3 linked regions of the Oryctolagus cuniculus genome follow. The protein of the gene in region 2 purifies or fractionates together with the protein of the main gene of each other region. This does not show direct contact. Links are inferred from orthologs where the notes say so. Each region holds a gene or a part of one and is shown on either strand. Other genes may lie near its edges.

Region 1 (9,940 bases), on a different chromosome or scaffold from region 2:
GAGCAGCCGGGACTAGAACCGGCGCCCAGATGGGATGCCGGCACTGCAGGCGGAGGAGTAACCCACTGCGCCACAGCGCCGGCCCCGGCTTCGCTTTCAGCGACGCTTCTCGCACGGTGCTTCCCTACGTAAGCGTAGTAAACGTGCTGATTCTCTGTTCTGTGGTTGTCAGTCGGTTGAGCACTTCTTAGGTTTTGGTGACCATGAACTTCAGTGTTGACCGTTCGTTCCTTGTCGTTTCCCGGTGTCTTGGGCTTTGGATTCACCGCGCTGGCATCAGCGCGGCAGAGCTGCGTGTCTGCGGCCTCTGCGCCTGCCGAGTTACCTTGTGTGGGCAGAGTCGCAGGAGGGGTCCCAGGGTCCCGGCCGGCGCGTCAGGGCTCGCCGCAGCCTGGCCTGCCGTGGAGGGTGGCGTTTCTGGAAATGCCGCTTCTTGTGGTGGTGGGAGGGGGAGGTGGGGTCTCGGGATTTGCGTTTCTCTGATCCTCAGCGAGGCCTGCAAGCCTCTGAGGGCCCCTGAGGTGGCCTTGAAGCCGGTGTCCGGGCGCTGTGGCCCCGGGGAGGCGTGTGTGCCCGAGAGCTGGGAGCTGGACGGCCCGCGCCTTGCCCGTCCCTGTTGCGTGGCGCTCAGCATCACGGCGCTGTGTGGAGCCACGGAGGAGCTGCCGGGAGGCGCGGGGTGGTTGGCGTTCCGTCCCCACGCGCTCCTCGCGGCGGCCTGCAGGTTGTGTTTGCCTTGGCAGTGCCGGGGACGTGTTAAGGCTGTCCCCACGTCTGTCTGCTGAAGGGGCGCTGGCAGGAGGGGAGGCGTGGCCCGCGTCCAGAGAAGTCCGCTCCAGCCTCACACACTCGCCTGTTGCAGCTGTGGCCTGCAGTCCCCTGGGGAGGGCCGTCGGACACCTCTCAGTGAAGGGCAGAGGGGGCGGCCGTAGGCCTGATTGGGGCCCGTGGGGGGGCACCAGGACGTGGCTGCCGCTCCCCACCTGCCGGCCTGAGTGGCCTCCCCCAGGAGGCCCAGGAGGAAGTCCATGGCCTTCCCCGCCAGCTGTGTTCCTGCATCACAGTGCCCCTCAGGGGTCCCTGTCCACTTGCTGCCTGTCTGCTTGCTCCCGGTGCAGCCTCTGCGAGGCTGGGCTGCCTGTCCTTGTGCCCAGCGTGTGCGTGTCGCGTCCCGCGTCCCACGGGCCTCCAGAAGGGCATGCTCGTCGTCAGGTGTCTGACGCCTTTCTCCTTTGCTGGTTCCTGAGTCGGTCCCTTGCAGTGTGCTGAATGAGCGTGGGCGTGTCAGCCCCCAGTGTGTGCGTGTTGCGTCCCATTTCCCACAGGCCCGTGTCAGCCTCCAGCGTGTGCGTGTCGCGTCCCGTGTCCCACAGACCCGTGTTAGCCCCCAGCGTGTGCATGTCGCGTCCCATGTCCCATGGGCCCCGTGTCAGCCCCCAGTGTGTGCGTGTCACATCCCGCTTCCCACAGGCCCGTGTTAGCCCCCAGCGTGTGCGTGTCGCGTCCCATGTCCCACTGGCCCCATGTCAGCCCCCAGCGTGTGCGTGTCGTGTCCCGTGTCCCATGGGCCCTGTGTCAGCCTGTGCTCCTCGTCAGGTGTCTGACGCCTTTCTCCTTTGCTGGTTCCTGAGTCGGTCCCTTGCAGTGTGCTGAATGAGCGTGGGCGTGTCAGCCCCCAGTGTGTGCGTGTCACGTCCCGTGTCCCACAGGCCTGTGTCAGCCCCCAGCGTGTGTGTGTTGCGTCCCATGTCCCACTGGCCCCATGTCAGCCCCCAGCGTGTGCGTGTCGTGTCCCGTGTCCCACGGGCCCCGTGTCAGCCCCCAGCGTGTGCGTGTCGTGTCCCGTGTCCCACAGGCCCGTGTTAGCCCCCAGCGTGTGCATGTCGCGTCCCATGTCCCACTGGCCCCATGTCAGCCCCCAGCGTGTGCGTGTCGTGTCCCGTGTCCCATGGGCCCTGTGTGTCAGCCTGTGCTCCTCGTCAGGTGTCTGACACCTTTCTCCTTTGCTGGTTCCTGAGTCGGTCCCTTGCAGTGTGCTGAATGAGCGTGGGCGTGTCAGCCCCCAGCGTGTGTGTGTTGCGTCCCATTTCCCACAGGCCTGTGTCAGCCCCCAGTGGGCTGTGGGGTGAGAGGCACCCCGTGCGTTCCGTGGGTGAAGGCTGGGCACGGGCTCTCGGGGCCCTGCAGCCGAGTGCTGGGCCTGTTTACAGAGTGAGCCGCTTGGGGGGCTGCCCAGCTCCAGTCACTGTGGCGGGCTTGCTGTGTGGGTTCCCCGGGGGTTTCTGTGTGCCCATGTGTGTGACGCTTCTCAGTGGGCCGGCCTTTGTGCTGACTTGAGCCAGGAACGCGGTGTGGGAGGTCATCAGCAGGTCCCGGAGAGGCGCGAGGCACGCCAAGGGTGGCCCGGAGGGGCTAGCTGGACTGGCGGTCCTGGCGGTCCTGGCGGCTGCTGGCTGTGCTCGGGCCTGCCTCCCAGGTCCTGCCCGCTGCTCTCCAAGCCCTCCAAGTCCCCCCCCCCCCCCCCCCCCCCGCTGGCCTGGAGGTCAGCTCCCTCCTGTGTGGCGCTGCTGGGGTTGGAGGCTGAGCGCAGTGGGGATGCAGGGGTGTGTGCCAGGTGGACGCTGGGCCCTGGGCATGAAGGCCCGGCTCACCCTGGCTGACGCACTTCATGTTGCTGGAGGCCCTTGGCAGGCTGTCAGGCATGGGGTCCATCACGTGTGCCCCGGGCGTGGGTCTGTCCTCGCCCTGTTGCAGACAAGCCTCATCCCCTGACAAGCACTGGGACCAGCCTCGGTGAGCGGCTGCTGTGTCCCCTCTCCGCAGACCATCAACGCGTTGAAGGGCAGGGTCTCGGAGCTGCAGTGGAGCCTGACGGACCAGGAGAGGCAGCTGAAGCGCCTGGAGTCGGAGAAGCAGGAGCTGGGGGAGCAGCTGGAGCTGCGGCACAGGTGCGGGGGGGCCTGCCCCGGCTGCAGGAGGGGCTGGTGCCCAGACCTGGGGGCCCTGAGCCAGATCGCGCATGACGGCAGCCCGCTGGGACTCCTCAGTCAGGCCCGAGGTCATAGGGTGGGGAGGGCGCGTCCTGGGGCTGGGAACAAGCTGGGCAGAGGCCGGGCATGACCGGAGCTGAAGCAGGGGTGAGGGAGTGGTCAGTCCTGGGCAGCCCGCTGCAGCTGCCCCGGGGCAGGCAGATGGTGTGGGGTGAGCGGTGTTGGGAGTGGGGGACCTGGGGGGTCACAGCTGGGAAGGACCTCGTGGGTGGTCTGGGCTTGCCCACCCGCCCTGTGAGGTGAGGAGCTGGAGCCCAGGGTGCCGGGTGTCTTTGCAGGGGGAGCGTGTCTGGGGGCCAGGCAGGGGGTCGCTGGCTTCACCGCATGCCTTGTCGTCCTGTGACAGACAGTGGCAGGAAGCTAACCAGAAGATCCAGGAGCTGCAGGCCAGCCAGGAGGTGAAGGCCGACCAGGAACAGAAGATCAAGGTGAGCCTGCGTCACTGCCTGCAACGGGGCCGCGGCGTCCCCTGCTGGCGCAAGCCTGTCTGAGCTGGGCTGCGTGGTGGCCCTGAGCAGGCTATGTGTTGTAGCCCTGGGCTGTGTGGTGGCCCTGGGCTGGCTGTGGTGGCTCTGGGCTGGCTGTGGTGGTCCTGGGCTGTGTGTGGTGGCCCTGGGCTGGCTGTGGTGGCCCTGAGCTGGCTGTGGTGGCCCTGAGCTGGCTGTAGTGGCCCTGAGCTGTGTGTGGTGGCCCTGGGCTGTGTGTGGTGGCCCTGGGCTGTGTGGTGGTCCTGAGCTGGCTGTGGTGGCCCTGAGCTGGCTGTGGTGGCCCTGGGCTGTGGGTGGTGGCCCTGAGCTTTCTGTGGTGTCCCAGAGCTGGCTGTAGTGGCCCTGGGCTGGCTGTGGTGGCCCTGGGCTGTGTGTGGTGGCCCTAAGCTGGCTGTGGTGGCCCTGGGCTGTGTGGTGGCCCTGAGCTGGCTGTGGTGTCCCAGAGCTGGCTGTGGTGGCCCTGGGCTGTGTGTGGTGGCCCTGGGCTGTGGGTGGTGGCCCTGAGCTGGCCGTGGTGGCCCTGGGCTGTGTGTGGTGGCCCTGATCTGGCTGTGGTGTCCCTGAGCTGTGTGTGGTGGCCCTGAGCAGGCTGTGTGTGGTGGCCCTGAGCAGGCTGTGTGTGGTGGCCCTGGGCTGTGTGGTGGCCCTGAGCTGTGTGTGGTTGTCCTGAGCTGGCTGTGGAGGCCTTGGGCTGTGTGTGGTGGCCCTGAGCTGGCTCTGGTGGCCCTGGGCTGTGTGTGGTGGCCCTGAGCTGGCTGTGGTGGCCCTGAGCTGTGTGGTGGCCCTGAGCTGTGTGTGGTTGTCCTGAGCTGGCTGTGGAGGCCTTGGGCTGTGTGTGGTGGCCCTGAGCTGGCTGTGGTGGCCCTGGGCTGTGTGTGGTGGCCCTGGGCTGTGTGTGGTGGCCCTGAGCTGGCTGTGGTGGCCCTGGGCTGTGTGTGGTGGCCCTGAGCTGGCTGTGGTGGCCCTGGGCTCTGTGTGGTGGCCCTGGGCTGGCTGTGGTGACCCTGGACTGTGTGTTGTGGCTCTGGGCTGTGTTTGGTGGCCCTGGGCTCTGTGTGGTGGCCCTGAGCTGACTGTGGTGGCCCTGAGCTGTGTGTGGTGGCCCTGAGCTGTGTGTGGTGGACCTGAGCTGACTGTGGTGGCCCTGGGCTCTGTGTGGTGGCCCTGTGCTGGCTGTGGTGGCCCTGGGCTGTGTGTTGTGGCCCTGGGCTGTGTGTGGTGGCCCTGAGCTGTGTGTGGTGGAACTGAGCTGGCTGTGGTGGCCCTGGGCTCTGTGTGGTGGCCCTGAGCTGGCTGTGGTGGCCCTGGGCTGTGTGTGGTGGACCTGAGCTGACTGTGGTGGACCTGAGCTGACTGGTGGCCCTAGCACACGTAGGGAGAGCAGAGAGCTGCTGGAAGTGACCTGGAGTGGACTTAGCGCCGTCGCAGATCTGCCTGCGGCCTGTGCCCGTCTGAGCTGCTCTCATGGCAGAGGTGGGGCCCGAGCCCCGTCAGCGGCTCCCTGGCATCAGAGTGGGTGCTGCGGCTCTCGCCTCTGTACCGTCTACCTGGCCCCGGGCTGGGGGCTCACCCTCTACCCGGCCCCAGCGTCTGCCCTGCACCCCACTCTACCGTCCTGCCTCGTTTTTCCCAGCCCCTGCTCGGCATTGCTGACCCCTTGGGCCTGATGTCCCGTGTTGCTCTGTCCCCTGCTGTACCCAGTACCTGGACAAGACATGGGCTCTGTTAGCGTTTGCTGACTGACTGCCTGAGTCCCAGATTCCTACGTTAGCTTGTTGAGTGACTCGTGTCCTGGGGTGACATGTCTGTCCTCTCTGGTAGCACAGACTGTTGTCACATGTGTGTCACTGGCTGACGCCTGCCTGTTTGTGGGGGACAGTGGGAGCTTTGGTGCTGGGGTCTCTGGGACAGATGGGGAGTAGCTCTGGCTCCTAGAGAACTCTGAGGGAAGGGTGGCCGCGTGCACGCTGGCTGTGCAGGGTGCGGAGGGAGGGTGGAGGCACGCCTGGAAGAGGGTCAACCGGGACAGAATCCGGCGCCCCGACCGGGACTAGAACCCGGTGTGCCGGCGCCGCAGGCGGAGGATTAGCCTAGTGAGCCGTGGTGCCGGCTGTCAGATCTTAACATCTACTGGTTCACTCCCCAAACGGCCGCAACACTGGGGCTGGGCCTGGCTGAAGCCTGGAGCCTGGAACTCCATCCCGGCCCCTGTGTGGGTGGCGGGGACCCGAGTGGTGGCGCCGTCGTCTGCTGTGTTCCCAGGCGTCAGAAGCAGGACAGCCAGGACGAACCGGTGCCCGTGAGGGATGCTGGTGCACGGGCGGCGCTGACCTGCTGCACCCGCGTTTCCCAGGCTCGGCAGCTCGTTCTTGTCCCCCCCTCCCCCACGCCAGGACTTGGAGCAGAAGCTGTCCCTGCAGGAGCAGGACGCCGTGGTCGTGAGGAGCATGAAGTCGGAGCTGGCGCGGCTCCCCAAGATGGAGCGGGAGCTGAAGCGGCTGCAGGACGAGAACTCACACCTGCGGTGAGGGCCGTGGGGGCCGTGGGGCCGTCGTGGGGGCCCCGCTGTGTCCCCAGGTGGGCGGCTGCCTGAGAGACCGTTTCTGGCCCCATCAGGGAGATGAGTGAGACCAACGGGCTGCTCCAGGAGGAGCTGGAGGGGCTGCAGAGGCGGCTGGCGCGCCAGGAGCAGGTGCAGCAGGCCGTGGTGGACCTGGAGCTGGAGAAGGAGGTGAGGCCGAGGCTGCGCGTCCTCCACTGGCCGTCCCACGGGACCTGGAGGCGTCAGCAGAATGTTGTGAATCCCGGAGCCTGTGACCCTGACCCTGCGTGAAGAGAGGCTGTGGCCATCTGGGTGTGTCGTGTCAGCACAGGGTGCCAGGGGGTGGCTCTGCTGGCTGTGGCCGCCTTTGGGGATGGCCGGGGAACGTGGGTGCCTGCCGAGGCTGGGAGGCAGGAGGCGGCTCTGCCTGGAGCCTCCGTGGGCCCAGCCCTGCCCGTGGGGACGCGGTGCGGGCTCGGGACTGAGAGCTGTGAGGTCTGACGCTGGCTTGCTGCAGGCTGCCTGGCTGTGCTGATGGGAGTCAGGCGGGAGTCCTGGGTGCCGTCGGAGGTGAGAGTGACAGAGCCCCCTGCGGGTGGCTGGGACCCGAGGTGTCCGTGTGGGAGGTTGCGGCCCTGGGAGGCCTGAAGGCGGGGGAGGAGACTGCAATTCAGAGGTGCCGCCTGTGCACAGCACGTGTGCTCCGCTGGGGTTTGTTGTCCTCCATGCCGCCTCCCGTGCTCACAGCCGCCTCAGGCCTCCGGCTTGCCCAGCACGCCCCCGTGTGGTGGCAGGGTCCGTGCTGCTTGGCCGTTTCTGTGCCGCCCGCGGCCTCACCGCGGCCTGGCCATCCCCAGCCCGTGTCGGGCCCCAGCCTTTTCCCAGAGTTGCATCCAGCTGAGCGCCCGGGCAGCCCAGCCGTCAGGGCAGGGGCTCCCCTCCCAGGCTGGCATCCCAAGTGAAGTTATGTTTTCTCTGGAAATAACTTTTCTTGGAAATGAGTCAAGATTGAGGGCCTGAAGTCCCACCTCCCGGTTGAGGGTCCTGCGTGGGTGTGCTGCCTTCCTTCCACCGGGCTCCCTCTGTGCAGCAAGGAGTGGTGACGGGGGCTGCCCCGTGGGTGTGGCGTGTCATGTTGGCTGCACCCGCTACCACGTGGAGGGCGTGGGAAACACCTGACTGAGTGATGCCCTGGATAGCCATGTGTGCTGTGTGCCACAGTGGGGTGGCGGGCAGCGGGGCAACTGCAGGTGGCTCCCGTTCCGGGAGAGCCCTGAGGTCCCGTTACTTTTGGTGTGTGGGTCATGATGGTGGGCAGGCTGGTGATGGGATGGTGTTGACACCCGGGGGCCGACTGCCCTTCTGTGCGGCCTGCTGGCGCAGCTCTCCGTGGGCTGGGGTTAGTGTGTGTGCCCTGTGGCTTGGCATTTGATGGAGCACCTGGGAGATGGGGGAGAGGTGAGCCCTCGGGGCTCAGTACCTGGGTCTGCTCTGTGGGGCACAGGCTCCCTGCACTCATGGTTCCGTGCGTTTTAGTTTATTTTTAAAATGGTTTATTTGAAAGGCGGAGTTATAGAGAAGGTAGGAGGGAGAGAGGTCTTCCATCTGCTGGTTTACTCTCCAGATGGCTGCACAGCCGGGGCCGGCCAGGAGATCCAGGAAGCCAGGAGCTCCATCTGGGTCTCCCACCTGGGTGGCAGGGGCCAGGCACTTGGGCCGTCTTCTGTGGCTTTCCCAGGCGCTCTGGCAGGGAGCTGGATTGGAAATGGAGCAGCCGGGACTTGAACTTGGGCTTATGTGGGATGCCGGCACTGCAGGGGGTGGCCTAACCCTGTTGTGATGCCTGCCCTCCGTACTCCCTTTGCACTTGCTGGGGTTCAGGCTTGAATTCGGGGGCCAGGGAGGATATGTGACGCGTGCAGGGTCCCGGCTGGGGGATGTGGGGTGGGCGTTTGCACGTCCTGGCACGTCCTGTGAGATGAGCACAGGCCGTTCCGGGGCCGCTGTGGGATGGTGGGTTTTACGCGGTGATTCCTGGGCAGGCGGTGATGGGGACTTGGCTTTGTCTTTCCAGAGGCTGCTCGCAAAGCTGCAAGGCTGGGAGAGACTGGATGCAGCCACAGGCTTGAACCTCAGGTAGGAGGCCCTGGGCAGGCGGCTTCCGGAGCTGCTCTCAGCGTGGCACTCGGCCCTGCCTCCTTGGCCGCTGGGCTGCGGCGGGAGCCTTTACCCCCACACACGGCCCGTGTGGGGCAGCGCAGGGCGCTCGGCCCCTTGGGAGCGTCATTGTTGAAGGTGGTGGCAGGGTTGTGGCTGTGGACGGGTGGAGGAGGTGATGGCTCTGGGGGTGTTGTTCCCTCCGGGTGACCATCGTCCGTGGACACAGCTGAAGTTTCAGGGTTGAGAGCCGACCCCGGGGAGGAAGCCCTGGGCCCGGGGCTGAGCTGCTGGGCACCCACCCCTGGCGCTGGGCCCCTGGCCCGGGTGTGTAGTGTGGGCAGGGCTCTGCAGGGGCCTGCGTGTGGAGGCTGGGCCTGGGGCCTGGGGTGTGTGAAGCGCCCTGCTGCGCCTGCCTGTGGGCTTCTGAGACCTGGAGTCCCAGGCGTCCTCCCTGCTGCCGGTGCCGGTGCCGGCGTCGCAGCCTGCCGGTCGTGGTTTGGCTTCAGGTCGCCGTCACTTGATGATGCCGCTTCCTCCTCTCCTGCTGTCCACATCACAGAAGCAGGCCGGGCTGCTGTTTCCTCTTGAAGCGCTGCTGCCGACGCTGGGCGCGTGGAGGGCCTGCCCCGGCAGGCCTGATGCTGTGCGTCCTCCTGTGTTCTGGGCTAATTAACTTCCTGGAAAAGGCTCTCCTGCTCCCAGGGGAGACAACCGACTTCCCGTGGGGAGAGAGCCAGAGGCCGGCGTGTGCCTGAGCGACTGGCCTGTTGCAGTGCAGGGTGCCTGGGGCCTGTGGTGGAGCTGGCGGCTGGCGGCTGCAGCTGGCCATCGTGGGCTGGGGCTGCCGTGCGGCCTGCGCCCTCCAGTCCCTCTTCCCCGCCTGAGCATGGTGACCGGGCGCTAGTGTGTTGTGTCTGTCCCGCCTGTGTCCGTACCTGGTGGCCAGGCTGGAGGGGGGGGACGTCAGGCTGGGACTGTGTCAGGCCCGGGGCCCGGCTGGTGCAGCAGAGGCCAGAGCCGCCGAGGAGTCCCTGTGTCGCTGTGCGGCTCTGCTGTGCCGAGGAGGGGCCTCCGGGTGGGTGCTGTCCGTCCTCGGCCCTAGCTCGGCCCTGAGGCCCAGGATAGGTGCCTCCCTGTCGGGCAGGTCTCCTGTGCCCGGCTGCCTTGGTGCCCTTGGCACCACCTCCTCACATGGCTGGGGGTCAGCCTGTGACCTCCACTGCCTCGCCGCGTGCCCTGTGGTTGCCGTGGCACGCAGACTACATGTGGCACTGGAGTTGGGTGAAGAAGCAGATTCCTGGGCCTCGCCCAACCCAGTGTCAGTGCGCGAGGGCTGGTCCTGGGCGCCGCGGTGAGGTGGGTAACGGTTCCCTGTGCTTGCCTTTTTCTTTTCTTTGTCGTTGGGTGGGCTGGGGGTCAGGTTCTGGGCGGTTCCTGCGATTTCCCAGCGGGAGGTGCCCTGTGGAGCTTCTGGTGGCCTGGGTGTGGTGCTGGGAAGCACCAGGCAGGTGCAGTCACGGAGAGGCCCTGGGGTTCCCGCTGCAGCCCGGGCTCTTTGTTCCATTGTTCCAGCAGATGTGGCACGCGTGGCTCAGACATGACACAGGGACACTGACCTCGACACTCACGCTGGCGTCTCCTGATTCTAGGAGCCCTCTGAAAGCCGTCTGGGGACCTGCAGTGGTCGGCAGGGTCTCGCT
Region 2 (10,406 bases):
AACAGCTCCGATACCCGCGAGTCCATTCGCCGCTGCCGCCAGCCCCCCGCCCGGCCCCTCCCCCCCGCTGCCGCCGCCGCCGCCGCCGCCGCCGCCGCCGCCCCCTCCGCCGCCGCCGCCGCCCCTACTGCCACCGCCGTGTCGGGCCAGCCAGAGGAGAGCGGGGTGGGGCCCGGCGCAAGCCACGCCCCCGCCTCCTGCCTCCTGGTCGCGTCAGAAACAGCCGCGGTGCACCATGGGATACGGAGTCCACAGCCCTGGGATCTCGCTCGAAACCATAAGCCGCCGCCCTACAACTCCCAAGAAGCATCGCGGCATGCAGGGTCGCAGTAGTGGTGGGGCGTGGACAAGAGCGCGCCTTCGCGCGCAAAGACCTATGGGGGCTGTAGTCTGGCTCCCAGTCTTCGCGCGCCGAACCGCTCTTGTTCCAGGGCCGGGGGATGGGGCCGGCCACTGTCCGCGAAGGGTTTACATCGGGATCGAGCTTTGCGGGCGCCCCTGGGTTTGGCCCCTTAAGCGCAGATTCTGAACAGATTTTGGATGTGGAGAGCTGCAGAATTCGGGGTGACTTCGGCCTGCTGGCTCCACCCCTGCCTCGGTTTCTTCCCCGATGGCCGGCGTGCCGTCGGGGGTGAGTCAGGGCGAACGCCAGGGCGGAGGCGGGTGGTGGTTAGCCTAATTATGGCTGTTATTGTTGCGATGATTATGCCACCCGTACATAGTAGTCGCTGCTTTATGACCAGGCTGGCACCTTCCGAGGATTGGTTTTGGCAGCCCCAGGCACTGCCATGGCCCGACACGAGGCTCGAACCTATAAACCTGCTGGCTCCCGGGTGGGGGAAAGGAGGGAGCGGGGTGGGGTGCTGAGGGGACTGCCGCAGCGCGCCTGCCTCCTCCCCTTTGTTTTGAAACTGAACCAATAGGGGAAACCTAAGTTTGGTTTAAAAACCACCAGGGCTGTAGGAGGAGCCTGGCTCTCTCTAGGGGCGGGACCGGGGTTCCAATTACAGCAAGCACTGCGAGGGCGGGGAAGTGGCCGGGAATAGAAACTTGGCCAAGGGCTCCAGGGGCTTGTTGACTTCTGCTTTTCTTGCCAAGTCACCTCTCCTGTTCTTTAGCGCTCTTGCACTCGGCGAAGAGTAAACACATTCGTGACAAGGCAGTGTCCAAGGCACCAGAGAGGCAGGGCAGGGAAGCAGTCCTAGGTTCAGTTCCTAGCCCCTAGGCCCCCAGGACACCACGGAACAGTATATCCACTTCCCCTCTCTTCCCAAACACTGAGTGCATCCACGGCCAAGAATTAAAACAGCTCTTCCCCGCCAGGCCTCAGTTTCCCTTAGAGGACTGGAAGCAGCGGCAGTGGCTTACCTCTGGCAATCCCTGCAGGGGTTCAGACCTGGTGGAGTCCATGGCTTCCTGTCAGGGCCACATGGAGGGAGACTGGCGGTCTACAGATGTGTAGGTGTTGTCTGCCTAGCATAACTCCCCGAGGCAGAGAGCGCAGAAAGACCAAAATCTGCAAAAGGGCCCAACAGGCCCAGCCGATTGTGTAGGTCTTCAGGGGCTGCAAGCACAAGTGACTTCTCTTCTTGATCCTGTGCAGTTGTTGAGGGAAAGGCCCACCCCAGCCAGGAGCAGAGGACCGCTGCTGAGGACCTGAGACTGCAGAACTCAGCGAGTGACCTCCAGAAGGAAGGGGATTGGAAGGGAGCGATAAGACCATCCCCCAACACACTCACTCCAACCAGAAAACCAGGGCCTGCTGCTCTTGGGAGATAACCCTTGTCTGTTCATCCACAGGGATCTTTCAACCACCAACCCCAACTCGCAGAACTTAGCTTCACCCCTCCCCATTCCCGTGTCTCCTAAGTGGAGAACTTCTTTGAAGAGATGGGAAGGGATAGCCCGTTCTGATACACCTTTCCTGACCACACCTGGCCTACCACAGTCAGAAGTGAGGGCGGGTAGAGGCGGAGGCTGAACAAAGCTGTCTGTCGAGGAGATCAGGGTCCTGGGACCTGGAACGTGGTGTCTGCGTTGTTTCCTGGAGGCGTTGCTTAAGAGGTGCCTGTGAGGTGTGTGGCTGTGGGATACATATATTAAGGATACACACACCCACGTCACATGAAAACATTTTTCCTGGTATGTCATTAGTCACTTATTTGTGTGTAGAGTACTTCTGCATACGTTTAAACTCACATTTAGCAACCTTTCCCTTATGCTATCTTAATTTTATGTCATCCCCTAAGATTTTACCCCAACTCTTGGGTTATAAGTTATGCCCCAATATTTTCTTCTAGAAGCTTTGAGGCTTATTTTTATGTTTAGAGCTTTAATTTGTTTGGGTCTGTCTCTCTGTAGTATGTTGGTAGGAACTAATTTGATTTTTTTCCTGAATGGATAGGGAGTATTTTTTTTTTATTATTTGACAGATAGAGTTAGACAGTGAGAGAGAGAGACAGAGACAGAGAGAAAGGTCTTCCTTCCACTGGTTTACCCCCCAAATGGCTGCTATGGCCGGAACTACGCTGATCCGAAGCCAGGAGCCAGATGCTTCCTTCTGGTCTCCCACGCGGGTGCAGGCGCCCAAGCCCTTGGGCCTTGCACCCAGGGAGACCAGGAGAAGCACCTGGCTTCTGCCTTCGGATCAGCGTGGTGCGCCAGCTGCAACGTGCCGGCCACAGCGGCCATTGGAGGGTGAATCAACGGTAAAGGAAGACCTTTCTCTCTGTCTCTCTCTCTCACTGTCCACTCTGCCTGGCAAAAATAAAAAATAAATAAATTTAAAAAAAGAAAAGTCGTCATCATGATAGACTGTGATCTGCATGGGAGGGTACTTCAGAAAGTTTGTGAAACATGAAATTAAATAAGTGCAAAAATTTTTCGAAATCCATTGCTGCTCTTTCACGATATACATTTTGCATATTTATTGAAGACCTCTTTGAATTCATGGATTTCACATTGTTCTAAATTTTATTTTCATTTTATTGGAGAGGCAGACAGAGAGACAGTATCCATCTGCCAGTTTACTCCCCAGATACCTGCAACAGCCAGGGCTGGACCAAGCTGAAGCCCCGGAGCCCAGAATCAATCCAGGTCTCCCATGTGGGTGGCAGGGACCCAGGTATTTCAGCCACCCTCTTTTCTTGTGTCCCAGGGTGCACATTAGCAGGAAGCCAGGCATTCAGTATGCGGTGTGGGCATCCCAGGCAGCAACTAAGTGCTGCACCAAGTGCCTGCCCCCAGACTTCAAAACTTTTTTGCACCAGGACAAACATCTTTGAATTACACTTTCCACAAAAATATTTAAAGTACCTATGATGTAGATATCTTAGTATGTGGACCTGTTTCTGGACTATCTTCTGGTTTACTGTGTGTACATTTATTTTTTAAGATTTATTTATGTGTTTATTTGAAAGGCAGAGAGAGAGAGCGATATCCCCCATCCACTGGTTGGCCCCCACAAAATGGATCCAATGACCAACAGGGGCTGGGCCAGGCTGAAGCTGGAGCTAGGAACTCCGTCTGTGCATACGTTTAAGTGAATCAGAAGTGGGACAGTGGGGCCAGCACTGTGGCTTAGCAAGTAAAGTCACCACCCATGATGCCAGTTTGAGTCCCTGTTGCTCCACTTCCAATCCTGCTCCCTGTTAATGTGCCTGGGGAAGCAATGGAGAATGGCCCAAGTCCTTGGGCCCCTGCACCCATGTGGGAGACCTGGAAGAAGCTCCCAGCTCCTGGCTTCACACCTGCCCAGCTCTGGCCGTTGTGGCATTTGGGGAGTGAATCAGCAGATGGAAGATCTTTCTATCTCTCTGTCTCTCTGTAACTCTGTCTTTCAAATAAATGAAGTAATTAAGTGGGAGGGGCAGCACTGTGGCATAGGGGGTAAAGCCACCACCTGCAGTGCCGGCATCCCATATGGGCGCCGGTTCGAGTCCCGGCTGCTCCACTTCCGATCCAGCTCTCTGCTATGGCCTAGGAAAGCAGTAGAGATGGCCCAAGTCTTAGGGCCCCTGCACCTCCATGGGAGACCCAGAAGAAGCTCCTGGCTCCTGGCTTTGGATCGGTGCAGCTCCAGCTGTTGTGGCCATTTGGGGAGTTAACCAGCAGGTGGAAGACCTCTCTCTCTCTGCCTCTCCTTTCTCTGTGTAACTCTGACTTTCAAATAAATAAATAAATCTTAACAACAACAACAACAAAAAGTGGAGCAGCTGGGATTTGAACCCGTGTCCATAAGGGATGCTGGGATCACAGGTGCTGGCTTAATCCTTTGTACCACAATGCTTCCCTTCCTCCCCCAACTTTTTTTTTTTTTTTTTTTTTTTGACAGGCAGAGTGGAGAGTGAGAGAGAGAGACAGAGAGAAAGGTCTTCCTTTTGCCATTGGCTCACCCCCCCCCCCCCAATGGTCGCTGTGGCCAGCGCACTGCGGCCGGCGCACCACACTGATCCGAAGCCAGGAGCCAGGTGCTTCTCCTGGTCTTCCATGCGGGTGCAGGGCCCAAGCACTTGGGCCATCCTCCACTGCACTTCTGGGCCACAGCAGAGAGCTGGCCTGGAAGAGGGGCAACTGGGACAGAATCCGGCGCCCCGACCGGGACTAGAACCCGGTGTGCCGGCGCCGCTAGGCGGAAGATTAGCCTAGTGAGCCGCGGTGCCGGCCCAGAAGCTTCTTCTGGGTCTCCCACGTGCTGTGGAGACCCAAGCACTTGGGACACCTTCCTCTGCTTTCCCAGGGACATTAGCAGAGAGCTGGATTGGAAGTGGAGCAGCTGAGGCACTAACTGGCACACCATAAGGGATGCTAATGCCAAAGGCGGAGGCTTAACCTGCTATGCCACAGCTCCGGCTCTTATAACTCTGCCTTTCAGACAAATGAATACAACTTTAAGAATCTTTAAATGCATCTTCAAAAATGAGGTGGGAGGGCCTAGGATCCAGATGACACTGTTAATGGGATAAGCAGAGAGTGAAAAGAACCTGTGGAGGAGACTGAGAAGTGCCTAGATTATACAAGTAGAAAGAAAAATAGACAAGTGTCAGGTTATGGAGGGCAAGAAAAGAATCTGTTTCAGGAATACTAGATGTTAAAACATACCAGAAAAGTATGATTAAAATACTGTGGTATTGGCTCAGAAATAAACATACACATAATAGGTCTGACATTGTGGTGCAACAGGTTAAGCCGCTGCTTATGATGCCAGCATCCCTTATGGGCACCAGTTCAGGTTTTGGCTGCTCCATTTCTGATCTGGCTTCCTGCTAATGCACCTGGAAAAGCAGCAGAAAATGGCCTAATTACTTGGGTCCCTGCAATTCATGCAGGAGATCTGGATGGAATTCCAAGCTCCTGGCTTCAGCCTGGCCCAGCCCGAGTCATTATGGCTATTTAGGAAGTAAACCAGCAGATGGAATGACTCTGTCTATGTCTCTCCCTCTTTCTTTGTAATTCTGCCTTTCTTTTTATTTTATTTTATTTTGACAAGCAGAGTTAGACAGTGAGAGAGAGAGAGACAGAGAGAAAGGTCTTCCTTCCGTTGGTTCATCCCCCAAATTGTTGCTACGGCTGGTGTGCTGTGCCAATCTGAAGCCAGGAGCCAGGTGCTTCCTCCTGGTCTCCCACACGGGTGCAGGGCCCAAGCACCTGGGCCATCCTCCACTGCACTCCCACGCCAGAGCGGAGAGCTGGACAGGAAGAGGAGCAACCGGGACAGAATCCGGCGCCCCGACTGGGACTAGAACCCAGTGTGCCTAGTGAGCCACGGTGCCAGCCCAATTCTATCTTTCAAATAAATAAATATATTTTTTAAAAAGTGGGGGAGGGGCCGGCAGAGAGAGAATCCTTCCATCCACTGGTTAACTCTCCAAATGGCAGCAGTGGACCAATCCGAAGCCAGGAGCTGGGAGCCAGAAGCTTCTTCAGGGTTTCCCATGTGGGTGCAAGGGCCCAAGGACTTGGGCCATCTTCTACCGCTTCCCCAGGCCATAGTCGAGAGCTGGATCAGAAGTGGAGCAGCCAGGACTCAAACATACCCCTATGGGCTGCTGGCTTAACCCACCTTGCCCAACTTACTCTGCAGCCTCCCAGAGTGATCCTATCCACTCCCATACTAATGGCTGTCTGTCCCAAATGGTGTTTCTAAATGTCTCTATTCACTGTCCTGTGGTGACACTGAACCCAGCCCATCAAAAGCAGGTTTCATCTTTTCTTCTCACCTCCTAGTAGATCTGGTCCTCGTTTATTGCTCCATCTTTCATCGAATGGAGCGCCTAGTAATTCAGTTGCTGGAGTCACAACCCTGCTGGTTTTTCTTTTTTATAGACTGACTGATTGATTGGTTTATCAGAGTTACAGACAGAGAGGGAGAGGCAGAAGAGATCTTCCAAGTACTGGTTCATTCCCCAAACTGCTGCAACAGCCTGGACTAGGCCAGGCCGAAGCCAGGAGCCTCTTCCAGGTCTCCCACGTGGGTGCAGGGGCCCAAGCACTTGGGCCATCTTGGGCCATGCACATTAGCAGGGAGCTGGATCAGAAGCGGAGCATCCAGGATTTGAACCGGTGCCCATATATGATACGGCACTGCAGACAGTGGCTTAACCCACCGCACTATAACGCCAGCCTGGACAGTCTGTTTCCTCGGATCAACTACTAATTTATGCTCATTGGGCCCCTTTGTATCTCCAGGACTCACCCAGTTCTCTCCCTCCCCTGCCACTACCCTGGTTCCGTTCTGTCTCAGCACTACCTCGAACTAGAACCCCTGTCCCTGTCTTTTATCCTCCCTGTAATCCAACTTCTACAGTGCAGCCAGCAGGGAGATTAAACGGGAAAGATGTGAACATAATCATGTCACTTCCCCTACTTATAAACAGCTTCCCTACCTCCCTACGGGGGATCGAGTTCAAAGCCTATCAAAGCTTAGAAGATCCTGTCATGATCCTGTCTCCTCCACGCCCCAGCGCTTTAGGAATTCTTCATTCCTTGAACAGGGGATGATGTTCTTGTCTCTTGGGGTCTCCTCTTTACCTTGCTAACTGACAAGGTCACAACATCTTCACACATTTCTTCTGGAACCACGTACCCCTGCCCCAACCCGCTCTGGGTTAGGCGCCCCAGTTCTTCCCTCCCCCAGCCCTTGTATACCCCACTGTATCAACGCATCCCATTGCACTGTACGCATAGGCAGTGCCCCCCTCGACGGCAGGGCCCGCGCCGGGCTTGTCCCCGGCGGAGCCTCCAGCACCGAGGACAGGGCCCGGCGTGAAGAAAGTAATGAACCCAAGAATGAATGGCTGCTAGAGGGCGGGTGGCCGCGAGCGCCTGGGCTCGCGGTAGCCGGAGGGCTAAGGGTGCCAGCGCGGGCTCCACCCCCGACCCCGCCCCAGGGCGGTGGCGCCGCGCCCCCTTCCGGCCGAGCCGGAAGTGGAGAGGGCTTCCCATGACGCTCCGCGGGCCGATCATTCTAACGCACGGAGCTGAGGGAGGAGGTCGCGATGGCGGCCCCGGAGCCGGAAATCCCGTCGCCGGCCGCAGGCACTGGTAAGGCATGGGGGCCCGGGCTTGCGGCTCCTCGGGGCCCTGTTTCTTCCCTACTGCCGTCCTGTCCTATCACCGCGCCTCTGGTCCTTCTGGTTCCGAGCTCCGGGTTCGTCCGCTCTCCGATGAGACTGCGCCTCGCCCTCTTTTCCCTGGGTCAGGAGCCCGATTTCTGAGTAGAGCCTCAGTCACTGACCGGGAATCTCTCTCGTATCGGCCACTTAGTCATGTACGGCCGCGGGGGTCAGGAATCCCGCACGTACGCACTAGGGTATCTGCGGCGTCGGGGTGTGCGTGGTGGCCGCAGGGAATGCGAAGCCCGACCCTGGCTTGTGTCTCATTTCCCTCTCTTGTGTCCTAGATCTGGAGTGGTTTGACCAGTCGGAAGAAATTCACGGCTCCCCGGTGGAACTGCCGGAGACTGCCTCTGCCCCCGAGGCTCCCGGCTCTGCGGAGCACTGCTGCCCGAGAGACTGCATGGTGCCGGTGGTGTTTCCCGGGCCGGTGAGCCGGGAAGGCTGCTGCCGCTTTACTTGTGAACTGCTCAAGCACATCATGTACCAGCGCCAGCAGCTGCCTCTGCCCTACGAACAGCTGAAGCACTTCTACCGAAAACCTTCTCCCCAGGTAGGCACGGGCTACGGGGGGGAGACGTCGCGGCTCTTGCCTGGCGAGCAGGTGGAACGGGGATCCGAGCCATCTGCAGGGACAGTCGGCGGCGCTGGCTCCGCGCTCGCGTCTTCAGCGGGGTGACCCTCTCTGGTTTTTTCCCTCTTGCTGTCTTCTCCCGAAACCCCTATTAAGTGTTGCTTTTGGACTCGAAGAGTTGAGCCTTTACATTTTAGTTTCTTTTCTCCAAATTTTCATGTTTGGTTTTTCCTTGATGGGGGAGTTCTTTGACTTTATATTCCAACACCAATACAACTTATTCTTTTTTTTTGGCAATCATTGTTAAGAGTTCTTAACTTTCGCATATGCTCTTTGCTCTTTTTCCCCCCAAAATGAGTTTATTTTGCTCTCATATATATATACATATATATATACATATATATATATACACATACATACATACATATATACCCCAGCAAAAATTGACTGCTTTGTGGCATGCCACCAAATTTCCTTGGCTATCTTAGCTTCTTATATCTGGCCGCTCTCTTGGCTGTTGGAAGGGTGGGAGAACTATGGCACAAAGAGTAGATTTCACTTTTTGCTGTGATGTTGATAAAGCCCAGTGATGTGGCGATGACATTCATTGAGCTAGACGTTCAGTCTTTTTAAGATTTATTTATTTACTTGAGAAACAGAGTTAAGAGAGAGAGGGAGAGAGAGAGAAAGGTCTTTCATCTGTTTCACTTCCCAAATGGCTGCAAGAGCTGGAGCTAGGCTGATCGGAGCCAGGAGCCAGGAGCTTCTTCTGGGGCTCCCATGTGGGTGCTGGGGGCCCAAGCTCTTGAGCCATTTTCTATTGCTTTCCCAGGCCATCAGCAGGGAGCCAAATCAGAAGTGGAGCTCCTGGGACCAGAACTGGTACCCATATGAGATGCCAGCTCCGGAGGCAGATGCTTAACCTAGTATGCCACAGTGCCGCCGCCCCCGCCCCCCACTTTTTTTTTTTTTTAAGATTTATTTATTTATTTGAAAGTCAGCATTACACAGAGAGAAAAGGAGAGGCAGAGAGAGAGAGGGGTTTTCCATCTGATGGTTCACTCCCCAGTGGGCCGCAACAGCTGGAGCTGAGCTGATCCAAATCCAGGAGCCAGGAGCTTCTTCCAGGTCTCCCACTTGGGTGTAGGGGCCCAAGCACTTGGGCTATCCTCCACTGCTTTCCCAGGCCACAGCAGAGAGCTGGATCAGAAGAGGAGCAGCTGGGACTAGAACCGGCACCCATTTAGGATGCCGGTGCTTCAAGCCAGGGCATTAACCCACTGCACCACAGCGCCATCGCCCCTCACAGGGTTCTTTAAAAGGCATTAGCTTCCCCTACCTTGTCTCTCTGTCTCACCAAGCTTTGTTGTCACAGGCAGAAGACGTGGTGAGGAAGAAGCCGCGGACGGCTGCCGAGGCCAGCAGCAGGAAATGCCAACAAGCCCTGGCGGAACTGGAGAGTGTCTTCAGTCACCTGGAGGGCCTCTTTGCCCGAACCCTGGTACCACGAGTGCTGATCCTCCTTGGGGGCAGTGCCCTAAGCCCCAAGGAGTTCTACGAACTTGACCTGTCCCGGCTGGCTCCCTACAGTGTGGACCAGAGCCTGAATACAGCAGCCTGTTTGCGCCGGCTCTTCCGGGCCATTTTCCTGGCTGACGCCTTTAGCGAGCTGCAGGCCCCACCGCTCATGGGCACCATCGTCATGGCTCAGGGGCACCGTGACTGTGGAGAAGATTGGTTTCGACCCAAGCTCAACTACCGCGTGCCCAGCCGCGGCCACAAACTGACCGTGAGCCTGTCCTGCGGCAGGCCTTCCGACCCAACAGTGGCTTCGGACGATTACATCTGGTTCCAGGCCCCAGTGACGCTGAAAGGCTTCCACGAGTGACGGAGGACGCTTCCTCATCCTGGAAACGGATGGCCGAATGGCCCGGCTCCCTTCGGCACCGAGCCACCCGACTCTCGCTTGGAGCTGGCGTTGCTTCCCGGTGAGAGGGGAAGGCACTGTCCTGGCTGCCTCCCCTCCTCACACTTCCGGGGGGCTGACGGTGTGTGGCTAGGACCATGGTAATCATCCCTGAGCTACAGCTTGTTGAATCAAAGGTTGCTTTTCCCAGAGGGTGCTGGGTCAGGTGTTTCTGTTTGGGCTTGCAGAGCAAAGCCGGGTCCAGAGAGGGACACTCCTATGGAGGCGGCCCTTCTCTGCTTGCTTGTCGTGT
Region 3 (10,686 bases), on a different chromosome or scaffold from region 2:
GAGCTGAGCCAATCCAAAATCAGGAGCCAGGAGCTTCTTCCGGGTCTCCCATGTGGGTGCAGGGGCCCATGGACTTGGGTCATCTTCTACTGCTTTCCCAGGCCATAGCAGAGAGCTGGATCGGAAGTGGAGTAGCCAGGACTTGAACCAGCCCCCAAGTGGGATGCCAGCACTGCAGGCAGAGGTCTTACCCACTACACCACGGAGCTGGCCCTGACCTCGGCTTTTTAAAGTTTGAAGCAGCAATGGCAGTACACTTGGATCTATCCAAATAATTTCATCTTCTAATTAATTAATTAAAATATATTTAACATTTAAAATAGTCAAGCATTAAGAAAAATGGTGGGGAGTGGCATTGTGGCACAGCCTGCTAAGTTGCCACTGGGGACGCCTGCTTTTGTTTTTCAGAGCTCCAGTTTGAGTCCTGGCTTCTCCACTTCTGATCCAGCTCCCTGCTAATGGACTGGGAGAGTAGTGGAGGACGGCCCAAGGGCTTGGGCCCCTGCTACCCATGTGGGAGACCTGGATGAAGTTCCAGACTCCTGGGTTTGGCTTGGCCCAGCTCTGGCCATTGCAGCCATTTGGGGGAGTGAACCAGTAGACAGAAGACCCCCCCCCCCATTGTGCTTTCAAATAAATAATAAAGTAAAAGGGAGGATGAGTGCTGCAAGTACACACATGTGTGGATGTTTCAAATAAAAGCTGCTACTGAGACGGACAGATTTAATGCTTGATGGTGATCGTGAGCTCACATCCCGGTGGACAGAAGCGGTGCACATCGAACGATGGCGGTGGGAGTGTGTTTCTGTCAGCTCTCTTCCATCATGACTGAAGCCTGCCCAGATTCCGGAGTGGAAGTGTGAGCCTTATAAAGCAACGCAGGAGGCCGCAGCTGGGTTTCACGTTCCAGACCTGCTTCAGGCTGGAGCTCCAGGACGCTCTGGGGAGCAGGGCGGAACGCTAGCCAGACTGGACGAGACCCCCCAGCGTGCCTTTCGTGCAGAAAGATTTCCTGGCCTGTGGGGAGTTCTTGGCTGCTCTCTGGGCTGAGTGAGATGGGGCTTTGCTGCCCGCATTGTAGATGGAGAGGGGACTGATGTCACTCCTGGCCGTGTGACCAGCAGGGGGCCCAAGACAAGCATCTTAAAGGACTTCGACTTTATACATTTTGAATATTCGCAGCTTGCTAATTGTGATTGAAAAGCATCTTTTTGAGAGTGAAAGCTGAAAAGTCTTCACTTCCAAATCAACACAATTTTCAGCGATTGTTAAAAAAGAAAATTATAACAGTGTATAACTGTGGCTTCCATGTTTGAGTTTTCACGGTATACTTCATTGTGCTCACTAGAAAGGAACAGTAATTATTGCTTAGTTTCTCTAAGCAATAATTTTTAATTTTATTATTTTTAAAAATTTTATTATTTTTAAAAATAAATCAGTTATTTTCAAAATGATTTAATGGGGCTGGCACTGTGGCGTAGTAGCTTAAACCTCCGCCTGTGTTGCTTGCATCCCATATGGGTGCCAGTTCAAGTCCTAGTTGCTCCTCTTCTGGTCCAGCTCTCTGCCATAGCCTGGGAAAACAGTGGAAGGTGGCCCAAGTGCTTGGGCCCCTGCACTCCTGTGGGAGACCAGGAAGAAACTCCTGGCTCCTGATTGGCCCAGCTCTGGCCATTGTAGCTGTTTGGGGAGTGAACCAGCAGATGGAAGACCTTTCTGTCTCACCCTCTCCCTGTAACTCTGCCTTTCAAATAAAACTAAATAAATCTTTAAAAAACATCTTCAGTAATCTGCAAGGTATAACGTTAACTAAGCTGACTTTAGTAATTTACAATCTTATGACTTTTTAAAAAAGATTTTATTTATTTATTTGAGAGAGAGAGGGAGACAAAGGTTCTTCCACCTGCTGGTTCACTCCCCAAATGGCCGCAGTCACTGGAGCTGTGCTGATCTGAAGCCAGGAGCCAGGAGCTTCTTCCAGGTCTCCCATGCAGGTGCAGGGGCCCAAGGACTTGGACCATCTTCCACTGCCTACCTGGGCCATCAGCAGAGAGCTGGATCGGAAATGACATTTGAAGGACAGCAGCATCTCTTAGGTCTCGATATGGTATCTGTGCTGGGTCCCTGTGGACCTGGTGTAGCACTTTGATTTGTGAAGCTCTACGAAGTGGTGTTAATGTTACCTTACCTTTGGGGTTGAAGCAACTGAGACTTAGGGGTTTGCCAAAACTCCCAAGGGTTTTCTGACCTGGAAGTGTAATGTCCATTTCTGTAAACAAATTCTGTCACCGTGATGGCAATTTGATGTCAGGGCCTGTTCTTAGTGAAGTGGGAGAGGTGGGACTGAATTTTATTCCAGGTCCTTGCCTTCTTGCACTTGGAGAAGCATTCTAAGTACAGGCACATATACAGGGTGCAAAGTAGTGAGTTTACTTAAAAGTGAGACAGCAGGGGCCGGTGCTGTGGCATGGCCGGTAAAGCCACGGCCTGCGATGCTGGCATCCCATATGGGTGCTGGCTCAAGTCCTGGCCACTCCACTGCCAATCCAGCTCCCTACTAATACTCCTGGGAAAGCAGAAGAAGACGGTTCCAATGCTGGGGCCCGGGAAGAAGTTTCTGGCTTTGGGCTAGCCCATCTCCAGCAGGTGTGGCCATTTGGGGAGTGAACCAATGGAAGTGTCTGTCTCCCTCTGTAACTCTGCCTTTCAAATGAATTCATAAATGCCTTTTAAATCAAAGGTGGGACAGCGCACACACACCTGGGCATAGTTGAGGCATGGCGTAGGCCAGAGGTAGACAAGGCGTAGGGAAGCGGAGGTGGAGAGAAGGGCACCTTCGGCAGCAGCTCCAGTCGGGGGTCTCTGACGAAGGAAGACCCGCCCAGTTGCCCGCCTCTTTCATAGGGTTGGAAGGGGCGCGGCTGCAGGCGTCGCCCATCCCAGGGCCCCGGGGAAGAGACATTCCTCCCCGAGGGGGCTACTTGATGGACACGCGGGTAGGGTTACAGGAGGGGCGAGGAGGCTTCTGGTTTCCAGCTCCGGCCTTCATCTCGTTCTCGTATTTCCTGGCTGGGGGGTGGGGGGGACTTCGATGAGCTCATTCACACCGAACGCGAGTGACTGAGGCGGCCCAACGTATCCGCCTGCTTTCTTCAGTGTTTTGTAACTGTGTTAGGCTAGAACAAGCCTACTCGCGCTTCCGAAGCAGAAATCCACTTAGGTGTCCTTGGTAAGTGGGTTGAGAAAGACTCTGATTAAAACCACACTGCAAAACAGGGAAGCCCGACCGGCCTGTTTTAAACTCTCGACCTCAAAAGGAAGGAAGCCAGCCATGCAATGATGATAGACTGCAGGGGGCACAGGGGCTGGGAACCAGGGGGGGTCCCTTACAGCCAGGCTTGCGGGCCTTTCCGCCTCTGGCCCCGCGTCGTGGCGGGCTTGCCCTTCCCACGGCAGCGTCGTGCGGGCGCCAGCTGCCCCCGGACGCCTCAGGAGCCGCGGCATCGTAGCTCGCGCTAAGAATGGCCCCCATTCCATTTTAACCAGAAGCACCTTCGGCTCAGAACCTTCGTTATCACCATACGAATTTATTATTTTCTTCCAAGCTTTTTTTTTTTTAATCTCTTCTGCCAAGCCACCTTGGACCCCCAATTATCCCCTGCGAAAAGCCAGGAGGGTAAAGGCGAGGAGCGCGCGGTCCGTGGGTTGCGAGGGCGCCTGGGCGGCCGAGATAAGGCCGGGCCAAACATGCCCGCGAGCTGCACCAGGCGCCGACCCGCCCGCTCGGATGCCCCGGCGTCCCCGGGCTCCGGAGCCGAGCCGCGGGGCGGGGCGGAGCGGACGCGCCACGGCGCGCCGCCAATCGACGGCGCCAGGAACGATTCAAAACGCCGAGGGGCCAATGGGAGCTCTGGGCGGCCCCCAGGGGCGGGACCGGGTGCGCGCGCGCCCGGGCCTCGGGACCGCGGGGCGCGAGAGCGCGGCGGGCAGCGTCGCGCGCGCGGAACCGCCGCGGAGGTGCTGCTGCGCGACTCTTCCCTGCCGCAGTGTGAGTTCCCGCCGGAGCCCGGCGCAGGTGAGCCCCCGGCCCCGCCCGGCGCCCGCCCTCCGCTCCCCGCTCCCCGCGGCGCGGCCTCCGAGGGGCGGCCAGGGGTGGGGGGAGGCAGGGGCGGGCGCCGCGTGGGGGCCGGGGTCCTCGGGCGCAGGGCCTGGCGCGGCGGCCTCGCCTTCGCTGCTTTCCCCTCCCGCTCCGCCTGCTCGCTGGGCGGTCGGCGGCTGCGGAAGTGGAGCGGCGGGTTTTGAACCGCGGACGTTTCCCTCCATGTTGGAGGCGCGCGGTGGCGCGGCGCGGGGTGGGCGGGCGGCGGTGGGCGCCTTTGTCCCGTGGTCGAGCGCCGCTGACAGATCGGCGGCGCGGGGCTGCTGTGGGAGTCGGCTTTGTGGTGCCTGGCCCCGGCGGTCTCAGAACGCGGACGTTTTGGGTCGGCTTGCTCTCTCCTGCTGCGGCGCGATCCTGTTTCTTTTCTTTCTTTTTCTTTTTTTTTTTTTTTCCCAGCCTTTTAAGGTTAAAACGATCCTCCCGCCCCGAAGTGACAGCTTGCCTCGCGCTTCCCGCAGCCTCAAGGGGCACTTAGTGAGCACTTGATCGCGCGGGGCCTTGTTCCAGGCGCTCTGGCTGAGCGCCGCGCTGTCCGGCGATGCTTGGAAAGGGACACAATGGACACGCTCAGGGCCGGGTGTGGGCGGCCCGGGGCTTCGGCCCGCCGCGGGTGTGCGTTTCCCGCTGCCGCCCCCCGGGCGGACGCCGGCGGGCCGGGGTTGCACCCTGGGGATTGCTCCGAGGGGAGGCTGGGGTCCAGGGAGGAGGGGGAGGGGGGCTTGCTTTGGCCCTGGCCAAATTTCAGGACAAGTTTAGCTTCCGAGAGCCTTCTGGGGAGTGGGAAGAGTAGAAGGCCGCTGTGCCTGTACGGCCGGCCGGGAAGGCGGCATTTGGGTGCAGCGGGAGGGAGCGAGGCCAGGGCTTGTGCGTCGTGCTGGTCGGCGCAGGTGTTGCAGGCACCTTCACCTGAGTTGTTTCTGTCACATTCAGACCAGTTGGTAAAAGTGAAGGGAATGTCCGGAAGACCGGGTAACAGTCGTCGGCAGGGAAAGGCATCAGAGGATTGTAACACTGATAAATAGTAACACGCTGGCGCCTCTTGAGACGGAAGAGTCAGCAAGCCTCCGGCTAAAGAGAGGGGAGGCTGCGGCTCCAGGAGCTTCTGCTCCTGATGACCGAGGTCAGGAAACGGGTTTTCCTTCGGAGCACCCGGCTAATGTCCTTGCCCAGAGAAGCCAATCTTCGTCAGTCTCACTCCCTCTGGCCTAATGACATGCGCAGGTGTCTGGGGCCCTGCGTCCTACCCTGGCCCTGCAGGAGATTATGTTAGGATGCAGTTGCACCATATCCGCCCATCTGGCAGTTGTGTGTGGATCTTGTGCAAAGTGGAGGAGTCCGCGTGTTGCTGGCTTCGTCTTTGGGAACATTTGTATGTGAGACAGTGGTCTCCCAAGCAGAGTGCTGGTTTCTTTTGTTTTGTCGTCTTTTTCTATTCTTTTTCTGTCTCTTGTGTCTCTTGTGTGTCTCTCTCTCCCTTCCTTCCTTTTTTCTTTTCTTTTTTTTTTTTTTTTAAGATTTATTTATTTGAAGGGCAGTTACAGAGAGGCAGAGGCAGAGAGAAAGGTCTTCCATCCATTGGTTCACTCCCCAAAGGGCCACAACGGCCAGAGCTGGGCTGATCTGAAGCCAGGAGCTTCTTCTGCATGCCGGTGCAGGGGCCCAAGGACTTGGGCCGTCTTCCACTCACTGCTTTCCCAGGCCTTAGCGGAGACCTGGATCAGAAATGGAGTAGCATGGACTCAAACTGGTGCCCATGCCCATGTGGGATGCTGGCACTGCAGGCAGCGGCTCTACCCGCTGTGCTGAAGCGCAGGCCCCTGGTTTCTTTTTTGCGTCTGTCAGGAAAGATCACTATCAGGTCCCAACTCTTAAGTAAATCTTTTTTAAAACTAAGCTTTGGGACGTAGCATGCATCCACCAGATGGCTTACTTTGACTCAAACCATTTTACTTAATGGGTAACAGAAAAATCTTTTTGGCCTTGACCTGTGTTCAGTATTGCACAGTACTATGAGTGCACTGTGTCATAGGTGCAAGGCAAAGATGTCCAAAAAATGACATTTTTTGTAAAGGTCCAGAAAGAATCTGCTCACGGGCCTTTACAGGTAGCCCTGAAGTCTTCATTGTAGGAACTGCCTTCTTCAAACCCCGGTTGAGCAGTGTAGAACTAGCACTTAGGACGGTGGATTGACTTTGGGGAGCCCAGGGGGAGGAGGGGGCACACGAGAAGAGAGAAGTAGGGCACATTTCCTTCCTCTTTCTTCGTACTTGGGGCTTGAGGCTCAGTGTTGAAACAGGCAAAGCTTGCTCTTGTCACCTTCCCTTTCTGTGCGCCTCCTGCCTGTCCAGAGCTGGCCGCTGCTCAGGTGCCCGCCCCTAGGGTGACTCCCTGGCCGGGCCTGACTTCATACCTCGAGCCTACACCCATTCATTACCCACTGATGCTATCTCAGGTGTTGGGAAGAAAGCAGGCTCTTACCTAATGTGTAACTGGCTGACATCTTTGAATCGCCAGATAAGCACTTGTGTTTTCTGTAATCTACTGCTGTCTATCTAGAAGCTATGTGAACGAGTGAAGCTTGGGCAGGTTTTTCTCAGGTGATTAACAGCGGGGAGGTGTGCTCAGGAAAGACTTTCCCAGGAGGCCCAGGTCGGGCAGCCTTCTCGCAGTGGTCTGAGGGCTCGGGCTGTGACAGGAATGTGCATCCCTGTGTCGCCTTGCTGGCCAGCTGCAAGTGACTTAGCGTGCCCCCATGGGTCTTGCTGTCTGCCTCTTGGAGCAGAGCGGGCCCCCGCCGGCTGGTTCATGGTGTTGGAGGGTCGGAGGCGCTGGTGGTGGACCTGCTGCTCAGCAGAGGGAGCAGCGTGACCACCAGGAGCTGGAGGCACCAGCAGTCACCTGACATTTCAGGTGGGGGACAGGCCTCGTGGAAGTGACACTGCTCGCAGATTTGTTGGTGGCTTCTTGGAGTGTTGTAGATCCCAGGCTTCGTGGGCCAGGCTTTGATTCAGTGGAAAAGAATGTTGTAATTGGGGGGTCGGTGTCTGCCACAGGCTTGAGAGAGGGGAACTTGGATGACGGCCAGGTGCGTGCTGCTCTGCGTGGGTGGTTGGCAGAGTTACTCGGTAGACGTTTGGGCTTTGGCTCCAAAAATCAAAAGCTTATAACGCCCACATTTGCTATTCATTCTAATTTTAGAATTATTTTTCTTGTTGATGGGTTATTGGCATATTAGCTGCACGTTTTTGGTTTTCCTAGTCTGTTTTCAATAAAGGCAATTTATTAAAATGTAATTGAAAACATTTTAAAAACTTTTGTAAAACAATATGCAAATACACAGTCAGCAAATGTGTCTTGTGCGAGACTGTGCTCTTTTTTTTTTTTTTTTTTTTTTGCTCTGACTTTCGATTAGCAGGAAATACGGTGACTGTAGGTGGGTAGCATTTTGCATTAGAGCAACTATTTGATGCCTGCATACATTGTCATAACTAATCCTTAGTGTCGCATGTGTCACACTGGCTAAATCAGCCTTATGTAGTGATTCCACATGGGATACAATGTGGCAGAAAGGACACCTTCTGTGTGGTGGTACCTGCTGTTTCCTGCCATTTACATTGTTAAACTTCAGTTTTCTCATCTTTAAGGAGTTGTACCCCTTTCCTCTAGAAACGCTTCTGGCCCTGCACTTTGACCATTTATTAAGAAAATCTGGAAAGCTGTAGCTTCGAGATCAGCCTATGGAAAAAAATATAAATATAACTGTGCACATATTGACTCAATTTTTTTCTTTAAAATTGTTCAGGCTAATTTTAGAAAATGCCAAGTAGGAAGTTTGCGGATGGTGAAGTGGTAAGAGGTCGGTGGCCCGGGAGTTCGCTTTATTACGAAGTAGAGATTTTGAGTCATGACAGCAAATCTCAGCTCTACACCGTAAAATACAAGGATGGAACTGAGCTGGAATTGAAGGAGAGTGACATCAAGGTAAGCGCTCCTCTGGCTTCCCGGAGAGTGTTTACAGTGAGTGCGGTTTCTAAGGCAGGGTGGTGAGTTCTGGCTCTGGGTCGAGTTCCTGCTGTGGGTCACATGCTGTTCTGGGCTCTGGGGATGCATGAAGAAGGCACAGAGCCTCGATCCCCAGCAGCTCAGTTTACTGGGGAAAGTAGACCTTTACGGTGGGCTGCATGTATGCTGCGGGTGGGACCGAGCACATCAAGAGTAGGGAATGGCCCCGGTGTCGGGGAAGCTGAAGCCTGGACCAGGTGCTGAGGACAGACTGGAATGACGAAGTTGATGTTGCTGGAAGGGTGTGATGGTCGGGCCGGCCGAGGGATAAACAGGGCTGCGTGGGAAGGATTTTTTATCTTTCATGTCCAGGGGTTTGGGCTTAACTGAGAGTGCCATTAAATAGCTTTGAGTCCAGCCCATGGCTTTTCAGCCCATCTAGTGAGGGCCTGATGGATGGTATACAAATACTTTACAAAAATGAATTAGTAGAAAAATCAAAAGACATCCTGAGTAAAAGCCACACATTTTTATTGTAAGATTCAACAGACACTAAGTTGGGTTGTCAAAGTGCTATGACAGTTCTGTCCGCCTGTTAGCAATCCTGGCGCTCACTGCCGAGCAGTAACCAGCAGCTCTTGGATCCTACTTTGCTCTAGACCAGGGTCTGGCAAAGGACAAGTTGTAAACAGTGTTGGCTGGGCCAGGCCATGTGTTTTCTGTAGTGCAGGAGCAGCTTCAGGCAATATGGAAGGGAATGGACATGGCTGTGTTCCAATAAAACTTTATTTATGGACACTGAAGTCTGAATTTCTTCATGTATCATGCAATGTTTATTTGTTTGCAGTCACTGAGGAAATAGAAAGGCTGTTCCTAGCTGCAGGGCAACGTAAGACAGGGTTGTCCTGGACCGGCGCTTCCTTCTCCAGCTCTGGATCCCAAGAAGCAGTGGCAGGAGCGATTGGGGTGGGGGGGGGGACAGGCACGCGGGGCCACGGAAGCCACTCCTGCCCTTTGTCTTCAGGATCTGCTCGAGTGGTTGTTCACAGCGAAACCGTGGGACTCATTTTTTTTGTGTTGGCTGAGTTCTAGTTTGTTTTGTCCTGTCGTCTCAGTTGTCATCATGTTCATCTTAACCCTTCCTGTGAAGACCTTTGGGGGGTGTACAGCGCAGAGCAGACACGGTGATTCTGCAGAACAGCTTCAGGGAGCAGCGGGGGCAGGGGTGGTGGGGGTGGAAAGGCTGCATTTGTCTTAGGAGAGATGATCATGGCCGCAGCCTCTTTCCTTGGCCTCATCTGAGCCAGTCTCGGACCGCGGGGTTTCCGTGGTGGGTTCAGAGTTAACGGGAGCAGTTACTGCCCTTGCAATCCTCTCCTAGTTTGAGTCTGTCTCTGTGGATTATCATTTGTGGTGAAGCCATTTTCCTTCTTTTTCTTCCCTAGCCTTTAACTTCTTTTAAGCAAAGGAAAAGTGGCTCAACCTCCAGTTCTCCCTCCAGACGGCGGGGGAGCAAAGGGAGTCGAGGGAGTCGGTCAAGGTCACGCTCCCGGTCCCCTGGTCGGCCACCTAGAAGTTCCCGAAGATCTGCCTCCGCTTCCCACCAGCCTGACATTCAGGAAACAAGGAGGGAAATACTGGAAGTCAAATTGACTCCACTGGTGTTGGTACTTGTCTTTATTCTTCTATAGTGTTTCTTCTTTCTAAACTGTCTTCTGCATTATGTGTATATTTACTCAAATTATTTGTAGTTAATATTAATGTCAATGAAACATCAAATCTAAGGTAATGACTTTGGAAGATTATATAGAAAACAAATGTTTCACATAGAAAGCATAGATCTTTTAAATAATGAAAAAGAATGTCTTTACCAGAAGTGCTATTTAATATTGTAGTTTTTAGAAAAGCAGTGTTTAAGTTTTAAATAGACGTAGGTTATAGGTTGTACTGCATTTTTAGTGTTGTGTGAAATGATGAGATGCACCTGTTATAGAGGCCTATTTGCTCGTTTACCATATTACACTTGATTACTTAACTATTCAAAGATGATAGTTTTAACAGGATTAGTTTCAAAGTGCTAGGTTGGGAATATTGAACTATGTGGAACCTGTAGACCTTGTACAAAGAGTCTACAAGGTAGTAAATAGTAGCACAAATAAAAATATTTTAAGTAAAAAAAAAATTTTTTTGAATCAGGGTTTGGTCGGTGTTGTGGTGTAGTGGGTTAAGCTGTTGCCTGCAATGCCAACATCCCATCTGGGCACTAGTTCGAGTCCTGGCTGCTCCACTTCTGATCCAGCTCTCTGCTATGGCCTGGGAAAGCAAAAGATGGCCTAAGTCCCTGGGCCCCTACACCTACATGGGAGACCAGAAGAAGCTCCTGGCTTCAGCCTGGCCCAGCCCTTGGCTGTTGCAGCAACATCTGGGGAGTGAACCAGTAGATGGAAGATCGCCACAGCACCGGCCCTGATATGTAATTAACAGTCAGTTCTTTTACTTTTTTTGTTTGTTTGTTTTCCCTCCAA

Evidence for each region.
Region 1: the proteins of MAD2L1BP (region 2) and MAD1L1 purify together in Homo sapiens (co-immunoprecipitation; 4 studies listed by BioGRID and IntAct, with this or other methods). This does not show direct contact. The link is inferred for Oryctolagus cuniculus from reciprocal best matches to the Homo sapiens genes MAD2L1BP and MAD1L1.
Region 3: the proteins of MAD2L1BP (region 2) and LBR purify together in Homo sapiens (co-immunoprecipitation; 3 studies listed by BioGRID and IntAct, counting the BioPlex papers as one, with this or other methods). This does not show direct contact. The link is inferred for Oryctolagus cuniculus from reciprocal best matches to the Homo sapiens genes MAD2L1BP and LBR.

Annotation. Positions count from the first base shown.
Region 1 is NC_091450.1:37,066,387-37,076,326, reverse strand, and holds part of MAD1L1 (mitotic spindle assembly checkpoint protein MAD1), read left to right. Parts: intron 1-2,823; coding exon 2,824-2,948; intron 2,949-3,396; coding exon 3,397-3,478; intron 3,479-5,931; coding exon 5,932-6,062; intron 6,063-6,154; coding exon 6,155-6,269; intron 6,270-8,154; coding exon 8,155-8,216; intron 8,217-9,940. UniProt on the Homo sapiens protein: Component of the spindle-assembly checkpoint that prevents the onset of anaphase until all chromosomes are properly aligned at the metaphase plate.
Region 2 is NC_091436.1:126,439,681-126,450,086, reverse strand, and holds the start of MAD2L1BP (MAD2L1-binding protein), read left to right. Parts: upstream 1-7,400; 5' UTR 7,401-7,496; coding exon 7,497-7,542; intron 7,543-7,900; coding exon 7,901-8,166; intron 8,167-9,562; coding exon 9,563-10,075; 3' UTR 10,076-10,406. Other genes in the region: GTPBP2 (GTP-binding protein 2), read right to left, coding at 1-26. UniProt on the Homo sapiens protein: May function to silence the spindle checkpoint and allow mitosis to proceed through anaphase by binding MAD2L1 after it has become dissociated from the MAD2L1-CDC20 complex.
Region 3 is NC_091444.1:40,004,958-40,015,643, forward strand, and holds the start of LBR (delta(14)-sterol reductase LBR), read left to right. Parts: upstream 1-3,919; 5' UTR 3,920-4,075; intron 4,076-7,961; 5' UTR 7,962-7,975; coding exon 7,976-8,140; intron 8,141-9,606; coding exon 9,607-9,828; intron 9,829-10,686. UniProt on the Homo sapiens protein: Catalyzes the reduction of the C14-unsaturated bond of lanosterol, as part of the metabolic pathway leading to cholesterol biosynthesis.